Callithrix jacchus: one gene and its partners. The protein of the gene in region 1 interacts with the protein of each later gene in a pairwise test. Links are inferred from orthologs where the notes say so. Each region holds a gene or a part of one and is shown in the gene's direction. Other genes may lie near its edges. The genes, in order: LSM2, CLNS1A and DNAJA1.

What was found.
Region 2: the proteins of LSM2 (region 1) and CLNS1A interact in binary tests that used the Homo sapiens proteins (3 or more experiments, as listed by UniProt). The link is inferred for Callithrix jacchus from reciprocal best matches to the Homo sapiens genes LSM2 and CLNS1A.
Region 3: the proteins of LSM2 (region 1) and DNAJA1 interact in a two-hybrid assay, tested with the Homo sapiens proteins (2 studies listed by BioGRID and IntAct). The link is inferred for Callithrix jacchus from reciprocal best matches to the Homo sapiens genes LSM2 and DNAJA1.

What each region holds. Positions count from the first base shown.
Region 1 is NC_133505.1:39,307,275-39,311,027, reverse strand, and holds the start of LSM2 (U6 snRNA-associated Sm-like protein LSm2), read left to right. Parts: upstream 1-1,482; 5' UTR 1,483-1,582; coding exon 1,583-1,585; exon of another isoform or gene 1,586-1,717; intron 1,718-2,186; coding exon 2,187-2,254; intron 2,255-3,753. UniProt on the Homo sapiens protein: Plays a role in pre-mRNA splicing as component of the U4/U6-U5 tri-snRNP complex that is involved in spliceosome assembly, and as component of the precatalytic spliceosome (spliceosome B complex).
Region 2 is NC_133511.1:62,962,267-62,966,019, forward strand, and holds the start of CLNS1A (methylosome subunit pICln), read left to right. Parts: upstream 1-862; 5' UTR 863-944; coding exon 945-1,069; intron 1,070-3,753. UniProt on the Homo sapiens protein: Involved in both the assembly of spliceosomal snRNPs and the methylation of Sm proteins.
Region 3 is NC_133502.1:140,231,046-140,233,894, forward strand, and holds the end of DNAJA1 (dnaJ homolog subfamily A member 1), read left to right. Parts: intron 1-526; coding exon 527-745; 3' UTR 746-2,326; downstream 2,327-2,849.

The sequences.
Region 1 (3,753 bases):
TTAATGACGACAGGTTTTCGCCATGTTGGCTAGGCTGCTCTTGAACTCCTGACCCCAAGTGATCCACCTGTCTCAGCCTCCCAAAATGTTGGGATTGCAGGCATGAGCCACCACGCCCAGCCAATTTTTGTATGTTTAGTAGAGACAGGTTTTCACCATTTTGGCCAGGCTGCTCTTGAACTTCTGACCTCATAATCCACCCGCCTCGGCCTCTCAAAAGTACTGGGATTACTTACAGGCGTGAGCCACCGCCTCTGGCCCTTTTTTCTTTTTTTCAACTTAATTTAAGATTCAAAACACTTATATGAAAAAATGCTCATCGTCACTGGTCATCAGAGAGATGCAAATCAAAACCACATTGAGATACCATCTCACGCCAGTTAGAATGGCGATCATTAAAAAATCTGGAGACAACAGATGCTGGAGAGGATGTGGAGAAAAAGGAACACTTTTACACTGTTGGTGGGAGTGTAAATTAGTTCAACCATTGTGGAAGACAGTGTGGCGATTCCTCAAGGATCTAGAAATAGAAATTCCATTTGACCCAGCAATCCCATTACTGGGTATATATCCAAAGGACTATAAATCGTTCTACTCTAAGGACACATGTACATGAATGTTCATTGCAGCACTGTTTACAATAGCAAAGACCTGGAATCAACCCAAATGCCCATTGATAATAGACTGGATTGGAAAAATGTGGCACATATACACCATGGAATATTATGCAGCAATCAGAAATTATGAGTTTGTGTCGTTTGAATCTGGAGAACATCATCCTCAGCAAACAGACACAAGAACAGAAAATGAAACACCGCATATTCTCACTCATAGGCGGGTGATGAAAAATGAGAACACATGGACACAGAAAGGGGAGTACTAAACACTGGGGTCTATTGGGGGGAAAAGGGTAGGGCCAGTGGGAGGGGGAGGTGGGGAGGGATAGCCTGGGGAGAAATGCCAAATGTGGATGAAGGGGAGAAGGAAAGCAAAGCACACTGCCATGTGTGTACCTACGCAACTGTCTTGCATGTTCTGCTCATGTACCTTAAAACCTAAAATCCAATAAAAAATTAAAAAAAAAAAAAGATTCAAAACTTTTACATTTTATGGTTTTAACCAATATAGAAAAGTGCATACTTCATAATCTTCACAAACTCCCCACAATTCTCGATTAGGAGTGTGTGTAAATCAGGAGGACTTGACGCTATGGACGACAGGATCCTGGAAAAGAACAGTATCCTTTGAGTTGAGGAGCTGAGTCCCGCCACCCGCCCAGCAGCCCAGGCCCGGGTCCGCGCGTGCGCAATGGGAGCCGGCCAGCCCGGGAGGAAGTCGGAATGCAGGAACCCCGCCCCTTTCCCGGCTTCCTCCTCCCTTCGGTTCTACCCAGAGTGCTCTCCCCAGCCACAAGTCGGCCGCGCTCTCCCCTTCAGTGCTTGGAGCTGTCTACGTCCTTTCACGCTGCGCCTGCGCGGCCCCGCCTCGCCCCACGCGCGGGCTCCCGCTTCGGTTTCCCCAGACCTGCTGGCGGCAGCCTGATCTTTTCCCGGTCCGGCCCGCTGCCCGCGGCGCCAAAACCATGGTGGGTACTGTGAAGTCAAAAGGTGGTGCCCTCGGGGAGCTCGGACGGTTGGGGCGGGGAGTCTGGCCTTTGTCCCCCTGGGCTGGAGTTTTAGGTCCTTAGTCTTGTGCCTCAAGTTCGTTGAGGAGATACCTGAAAGCAAATGGGAATTTTTTTTTTTTCCATGGGAGGTTAAAAAAACTCAACCCTGAGAGAGAGTCAATGGGGACAGCGGGAGACAGAAAAGTTAGACCTTAGAGCACTTAATCTGCCGGAGACCAAGCAGGCTTCCGGCGGGTGGGGGTGGGATATTTTCTGCAGTTCATTGAAAGGAGTGGGCAGGGACCCCAGGAAGGTGGCCGACTGAGAGAGCACACTTGGGCCGACGTATGCAGGGCAGAGCCTCTCTGGAACTTTAAGTGATGGGCTCAATGCAGTGTGTGGAATAATATAGGCTCCAGCCTTTCACCTCTGTCAGCCGATTATTCTTTCCTGTGAAGTTTTGAGAACTGTCAGAGATGCAGTGGGGTTCACAATACCAGTGTTTGGTAATACTGGCAAGGGACACTCCTCCCTACCATGTTCCTTCCCACATGATGGTTTTCCCCCTCTCACCCAATAGCTCTTCTATTCTTTTTTCAAGTCCCTTGTGGGCAAGGATGTGGTCGTGGAACTCAAGAATGACCTGAGGTAGGTACCTGTTCCAACAAGTCTGTTGGGGGTGGGTGTGCCCAACGCCCTGGAACCTCTTTAATTTGAGAACTATTTGAAGGCTGGGAGAGGTGGAAGATATAAGGAAGAAATAAATGGGTAGGGCTCAGTGGCTCAGTACTGTAATTCCAGCACTTTGGGAGGCTGAGGAGGGAGGATCGCTTGAGCCCAGGAGTTTGAGGCTGCAGTGAGCAATGATTACTCCATTGCACTCTAGCCCAGGCAATAGAGCAAGACCCCATCTCTAAGAAAAATTTAAAAATAAGTGCCTTGTGCCTTAAATTTACAGATAAGCTTGGGATTATGCTGTGTATTGGAAAACAATACAAAGCATTATATAGTTTAAAGAGTAAGTACTAGTAGCCAGGCTCCCTGGCTCTCGGGTTGGGCGAGGTGACTCATACCTGTAAGCCCAGCCTTTGGGAGGCCGTGATGGGTGGTCACCACGAGGTCAGGAGTTCAAGACCAGCCAGACCAAGATGGTGAAACCCTGTCTCTACTAAAAATGCAAAAATAAGCCAGGTGTGGTGTCAGGCGCCTGTGATTCCAGCTACTCAGGAGACTGAGGCAGGAGAATCGCTTGAACCTAGGTGGCAGAGATGGCGGTGAGCTGAGATTGTGCCACTGCACTCCAGCCTGGATGATAGAGTGAGACTCCATCTGGGAAAAAAAAAAAAAAGTAAATACTAGGCTGGTCATGGTGGCTCACACCTGTAACCTCAGTGCTTTGGGAGGCTGAGATAGGAAGATCACTTGAGTCCAGGAGTTTGAGACTAGCCTGGGCAACATAGTGAGACCTCTATTTCTACAAAAAATTTAAAAATTAGCCAGGTGTAGTGATGCATGTCTGTAGTCCCAGTTATTAGGGACTAATCCCAGCCTGAGGTGGGATGATCACTTGAACCCAGGAAGTCGAGGCTACAGCAAGCCATGATTATACCACTTTACTCCAGCCTGGGTGACAGAGGGAGACTGTGTCTCAAAAAAGAACAGGCCATAGGATGGGCATGGTGCACAGTGGCTTACACTTGTAATCCTAGCACTTTGGGAGGCTGAGGTGGGAGGATCACGAGGTCAAGAGATCTAGATCATTCTGGCCTATATAGTGAAACCTTGTCTCTACTAAAAATACAAAAATTAGCTGGGCGTGGTGGCCCGCACCTGTAGTCCCAGTTACTAGGGAGGCAGAAGCAGGAGAATCATTTGAACCCGGGAGGTGGAGGTTGCAGTGAGCCAAGATTGCACCACTGCACTCCAGCCTGGCGACAGAGTGAGACTCCCATCTCAAAACAAAAAAAGAACAGGCCATAAACAGCAAATGTTATTTCTACAAAATGAGAAGCACCCATTAGGAAGAATATAGACTCTCTGATAGAAGGTTCTACGGGGCTAGAAGGACAGGGAGAAGTCTCTCAAAAATACAGCATTTAGTCTAAGTCCTGAAATAAGATTAAAATAAAAGATACAAGTGGGAGGAG
Region 2 (3,753 bases), on another chromosome or scaffold:
GAGGCCAAGGCGGGTGGATCACCTGAAGGTCAGGAGTTTGAGACCAGGCTGGCCAACATGGAGAAACCCCATCTCTACTAAAAATACAAAAAATTAGCCAGGCGTGGTGGCGGGTGTCTGTAATCCCAGCTACTCGGGAGGCTGAGGCAGAAGAATCGCTTGAACCCAGGAGGTGGAGGTTGCAATGAGTAGAGATTATGCCATGCCACTGCACACCAGCCTGGGCAAACAAGAGTGAAACTTCGTCTCAAAGAAAAAAAAAAAAAAAGTTGGGGGTGGCCACAAGATCACATGAGCCAGTTTATCCATCTGGTGGTGGCAGCTGATCCATCAGGTGCAAGGGCCGATCTTAGGTGCAGTTTAGGGAGGGTCAGAATCTTGAAGCCTCCAGCTGTAATTTCTAATCTAAACCATAATTTCTAAAATCTTGTAGCTAATGTGTTAGTCCTACAAAGGCAGTCCAGACCCCAAGCAAGAAGGAAATTTGTTTTGGGAAAAGGCTGTCATCATTTGTTTTAAACTTTAAACTATAAACTAAGTTCCTCTCAAAGTATGCCCAGGAATGCACAAGGACAGCTTGGAGGTTAGAAACAACATGGATTTGGATAGGTCGCTTTCAGTGTCTCAACTATAATTTTGCAATGGCGGTTTCACTGTGACAACCTTGAGGTAGAGAGTCCCACAGAACTCTCGGTTATTTGAAGCCCAGAACCTCAGAAATGGCGAGGAAGAGAGGGAGGGCCGTCCCGCGGTCAAACAACTCGGTCTTAGCCGACCTCCGACGCTTTTCCTAGAATGTCTCATCTCTATGGTTGACGGGGCTCAGGTTCCTGGCCGACTGTTGTTCTTCCGGGGTAACTTCCTTTTCCGGGGCGGGCGGCGCTGTGCGTGTATTGCTGTGCCCCAACTCCCTCAGGGCCTGTGTTGCGGGATTCCCTGCTGCTATGAGCTTCCTCAAAAGTTTCCCGCCGCCTGGGCCGGCGGAGGGGCTCCTGCGGCAGCAGCCAGACACCGAGGCTGTGCTGAACGGGAAGGGCCTTGGCACCGGTACCCTTTACATCGCTGAGAGGTAGGGTTCCTGGTCCTCAGCGCCGGCCTCCTCCTCGCTGGCGCAGGAGGTGCGAAGGAGCCAGGCGAGGGGCGACCTAGTGGGCTGTTGGGAGCGGGGGCGCGTGCCTGGGACGCCTCATGGATACCTGTACTGGGTGGAAGACTCGGTTTTTCTGGCGCTCCTCCGGAGTCTTCCATTCTGTTTTCTCCGGCCGTAATTTCCCCTCATGGGTTGTGCTGCTTTTCTTTTTGCTGTTAACTCTCCTGTTTACGGGAGGTCTGGCGCCTGCGTTGCCCTTCACGCACGGTCTCGTTTTAAGGGTCTGAAGTGTGCCTGTCTTTCGGATGAACAGATGCAGGAAGTGGTCCCTTCTGCGGGATATGTAGTTTCAGAGCAGATTGTGGAGGACTTTGAAACTTTGGATACTACACAATATAGATTTTCTTCTGTAGGTATACTAAGGAGGAACACCTCTTCACCCGACACAGACAGGGGTCATATGCAGAGGGACTAGTCTCCCGTTTTGGGGTCCTGGAAGGAATTGCCCTTTTATTTGACCACCTGGAGCACTTTTGTATTTTCACAGTCAGATAGATCCTCCTTAAATACTGTAGTTGTAGAACTGAGGTCTCTGTTTTTGACTTGTAGTCCTCTTTATTTTGAAGTATGTAATGACACATTGAATCCTTCCTGTCCTTCAGATACCTGTTGCTTCCCCTTTTGCTCCATCACTTGTCTACAGGCAGAGAAAATTCTCTACTTTTAAGTGCTCATATAATTACTTTGGGACCACTTATAAAATCCAGGATAAAATCTACCAATGTTACTGTCAACTGATAAGCTGAATTACGTTTGCGAAGTCCCTTTTGCTATGTAATATAACATAGTCACAGGCGTGACACCAGAAAGTGAAGGTCGTGGGGCCAAAATTCTGCCTCCCAGAGAATCCAGACTACAAAAACTGTAAAGAACTGTTGCTTTAAAGGGAAATTTAGGCATTGATCAAGGCTTAGGCTTCAGGCCAGTCATTGAGGTAAGACATAAGGATGGGAGGAAAAGCAAGATTGATGTGATAAGCAGATAATGAGTTTGGTCAGGACATGTGTGGAATAGTTGTACACATGAGTGTGTTTTGGGCCGGGTGTGGTGGGTCATACCGGTAATCCCACCATTTTGGGAAGCTGAGGCGAGTGGATCGCTTTAGCCCAGCAGTTTGAGATCAGCCTGGGCAACATGGTGAAACTCAGTCTCTGCAAGAACTAGCCAGGCATGGTGGTGGCCTGTAGTTCTAGCTACTCAGGAAACTGAGGTGGAAGGATCATCTGAGCCCAGGAGGTGGAGGCTGCCGTGGGCGTTATTGTGCTCTGCAGTCCAGCCTGCATAACAGTGAGACCCTGTCAAAAAAACAAAAACATATGTCTTGGGAAAGTGATATTAAAGAGAGATGTTTGGGAGTCGTTAGAGAAAGTATTAGCGTATACTCATGGAAATGGATTGGTATCCCAGAAGAGAAGAGGACCAAGTGTAGAATCCTCGGGATACACCTGTATTAAGAGGTGGGTCACAGAAGAAGAAGGGACTTGAGAAAGTAGGAAGGAGCAGTCAGAAACAAAATCTGGAGTCTATATTGAGTATTGATAAGGAAATCTTTGATAATTGGGGAAAGCAGTTTCTTATAAGTGGTGAAAGATGGGGCACAGATACATTTTTAGTTCCAGGCATTCCTTTTTTATTCATGACATTTAAGTATATTGACACTTCTTTCAATATTATAACTCCTTTTGAGGAGCAGTCCTGTATTTCTTTTTGCATTTTGAAAAATTTCAAACCTAGCTGGGCACAGTGGCTCATGCCTGTAATCCCAGCACTTTGGGAGGCTGAGGCGTGCGGATCACAAGGTCAGGAGATGGAGATCATCCTGGCTAACACAGTGAAACCCCGTCTCTAAAAAAAAAAAAAAAAAAGAAATTTCAAACCTAAGGCTGGGTGCAGTGGCTCATGCCTGTAATCCCAGCACTTTGGGAGGCTGACGGGTGGGGTGGATCACCTGAGGACAGGAGTTCAAGACCAGCCTGGCCAACATGGTGAAACCGCATCTCTACTAAAAATACAAAAATTAGCAGGGTGTGGTGGCGTGTGCCTGTAATCCCAACTACTTGGGAGGCTGAGGCAGGAGAATCGCTTGAACCCAGGAGGCAGAGGTTGCAGTGAGCCAAGATTGTGCCATTGCACTTCTTCCTGGCTGACAATGAGACTCTGTCTCAAAAAAAAAAATTTCAAATCTAATTAACATTTTGCCACATTTATGTCTCTCTCTCTTTTTTTTTTTCTGAGCCATTTGAGAATTGCAGACCTGTTTTCCATTTCCTGTATCTCAGAAGAACGGGAACATTCTCTTGTATAACCACAATACAATTCTCACACTAAGGAAGTATAACTCATTTCAAGTTTTTATCTGTTTTTAAAAAATTCTTAGGCTGGGCAAGGTGTCTCATGCCTGCAATCCCAGCACTTTGAGAGGCCAAGATGAGCAGATAGCTTGAGCCTAGGAGTTCTTGACCAGCCTGGGCAACATGGCAAAACCCCGTCTCTACAAAGAATACAAAAAAAATGCAGAAATTAGCCAGTCATGGTGGTGTGTGCCTGTAGTCCCAGGTACTCTGGGGGTGGTGAGGTGGGAGGATTACTTGAGCCTGGGAAGG
Region 3 (2,849 bases), on another chromosome or scaffold:
CTTCTGGGTTCAAGCAATTCTGCCTCAGCCTCCTGAGTAGCTGGGATTACAGGCACCTGCCACCACACCTGCTGGTGTTTTTAGTAGATGGGTTTCATTTTTGAGTTTTTAGTAGACAGGTTTCACCATGTTAGCCAGGCTGATCTCAAACTCATGGCCTTGGGTGATTTGCCCACCTCGGCCTCCCAAAGTGTTGAGATTACAGGCCTAAAAATATCTTTGGATAAGAAAGAACTACCCTTTTGAGAGTAAGAGTAGCTTTCTTAAATACCTCATGAGAAGAGTTAGACTGTTTCAGGACGGGTTTTAGTATTCAAAGTTAGTTTGCTGGATAGAACAATGGTGGTTATAAGTACAGTTTTATTTAATACAATCTTTTTTTAATGAAGCCTGACTTTTGGTCATAATCCTTGAACTCTAGTTGAGAGTGCGCTATGCACTGTGTTTTTCTGGGGAAAGTGAATCCATGATACTCTTAAGGAGCTAATGATGAAAACAGATTGAACTTTAAAAATTTCTTTTGAAGGTAAACTTCCCTGAGAATGGCTTTCTCTCTCCTGATAAACTGTCTTTGCTGGAAAAACTCCTACCGGAGAGGAAGGAAGTGGAAGAGACTGATGAGATGGATCAAGTAGAACTGGTGGACTTTGATCCAAATCAGGAAAGACGGCGCCATTACAATGGAGAAGCATATGAGGATGATGAACATCATCCCAGAGGTGGTGTTCAGTGTCAGACCTCTTAATGGGCCAGTGAATAACACTCACTGCTGGCATTTTATGTGCAGTAGTGAATGAGTAAGGATGTAATCATAATATGCTCACTACTTGCTCTTGTTTTTGTTTTAATCAACTATAGTAGTGTTTTAAAAAGTTAAATGAAGAATAAAGGCAAATATAAAAGCTCTGACTGCCCTGTATGTATGATGACTTCAGTGTGCAAAATGAAGTTTAATACCTGTAAAAAGTACTTTAAAAAGAAGTTCCCCTAGCATTGCTAGGCCAAACCTTGTAATTGACTTCAGCTATGTATGTGGACAAGCTTAGACTGAAATGCTAGGTATATGTATTGGCTTCAGTGTATGACCCTTCATTGTTAAGCTCTGAAAGTAAAACTGTACTTAACTGGCAATAAGAAAATTGTAGAGAAGTGTTGGTCTGTATAGTTCTTGTATTAAGTGGGAATCATTGTAATGCCTCTGCATTTATTCTATTGCCTCAACTGTTACTTGAAGATGGCATAATATATAATTTATCCTGTGGTATCAGTGATAAAATGATACCTTTCTGTAGGAGGGGTTTATCATAATATGCTGCTTCTTGAAGGCTTGCACTTCCAAAATTGTTCCTTCTGCTGTGCCATCCATATATATATATATATATATCCATATATATCTTGACCAGTCCTGGTTATTTGCTCCCCTCCTTGTCTGTGGACCATGATAAGCCTGAGTAGTGACTTCAGAGCTGGGTAACGTAGAAATTAAAGTGAAAAGACCTTTACATGGAGAAGTAATTTGCATGCGTAATATAGGAAGGTGTTCTTTAGGTATGTTACAGGATTACTTTAAACCATTTGACTTATGCTCCAAAGTAACTAATGTTGGTAGTATAGCAAATTATGAATAGCTTTAATTGTATGTTTAAAAGTCTCATATGTTCACATGCTTAAATCTGGGTATCAGAATTTAAGCAATTCTTGAAATGTATTGTTTCCTTAATATACTAATTACAAAGCATCTCCAATGTGTGTCACTACAGGCTTTTTTTTCCCAGATCATCAGTTTTGGCTTTTAACTAAGATACATAACTTGATTTTAGCTAGTCTAAATGAGTAATATAAAAACACTATTGAACTATACTTTTTTTTTTTTTGAGACAGAGTTTTGCTCTTGTTACCCAGGCTGGAGTACAATGGCGCGATCTTGGCTCACCACAACCTCCACCTCCTGGGTTCAGGCAATTCTCCTGCCTCAGCCTCCTGAGCAGGTGGGATTACAGGTATGCGCCACCATGCCCAGCTAATTTTTTTGTATTTTTAGTAGAGACAGGGTTTCACCATGTTGACCAGGATGGTCTTGATCCCTTGACCTTGTGATCCACCCGCCTTGGCCTCCCACAGTGCGGGGATTACAGGCGTGAGCCACCGTGCCTGGCCGAACTATAATATTAAAAAGGATGGAGAGTAAAGTGGAGGGCTGAGTAATGAGCCAAGAAGAGGGGGCTTAGAAAACTTTGCAAACATTGGAGTATGAGAAAACAAGTTCTTAAGAACACAAGTTTAAAAAGGAGAAAAACTGTTTAAAAAATAAAGTTCTCAAACCATCCATGTTTGTCAATTTCCTTTTTGTCTGTGCCAGACAGCCACAGCTACCCTAAAATTTGAGAGATGTGAAGCAGATGTTCAGGAAAGTATAATTTGATCAGTGTTGAAAAAGCACTTGTGACCCTTTCACTGAGCTTATATCCAAATTCTAAAAATTTCTCAACCTCTATATTAATATATTTAATATGTTTAGGGCCAGGCACGGTAGTGGCTCACGCCTGTAATTCCAGCATTTTGGGAGGCTAAGGCGGGTAGATCACCTGAGGTCAGGAGTTTGAGATCAGCCCGGCCAACATGGTGAAACCCATCTTTACTAAAAGTACAAAAATTAGCTGGGTGTGGTGGTGCGCACCTGTAGTCCCGGCTACTCTGGAGGGTGAGGCAGGAGAATTGCTCAAATCCAGGGGGCAGAGGCTGCAGTGAGCCAGGATCACGCCATTGCACTCTGGCCTGGGTGACAGAGCAAGACTCTGAAAAAGTATTATTTGTCAGTCTTATGGGAAACACATAAAAACCAGATACAA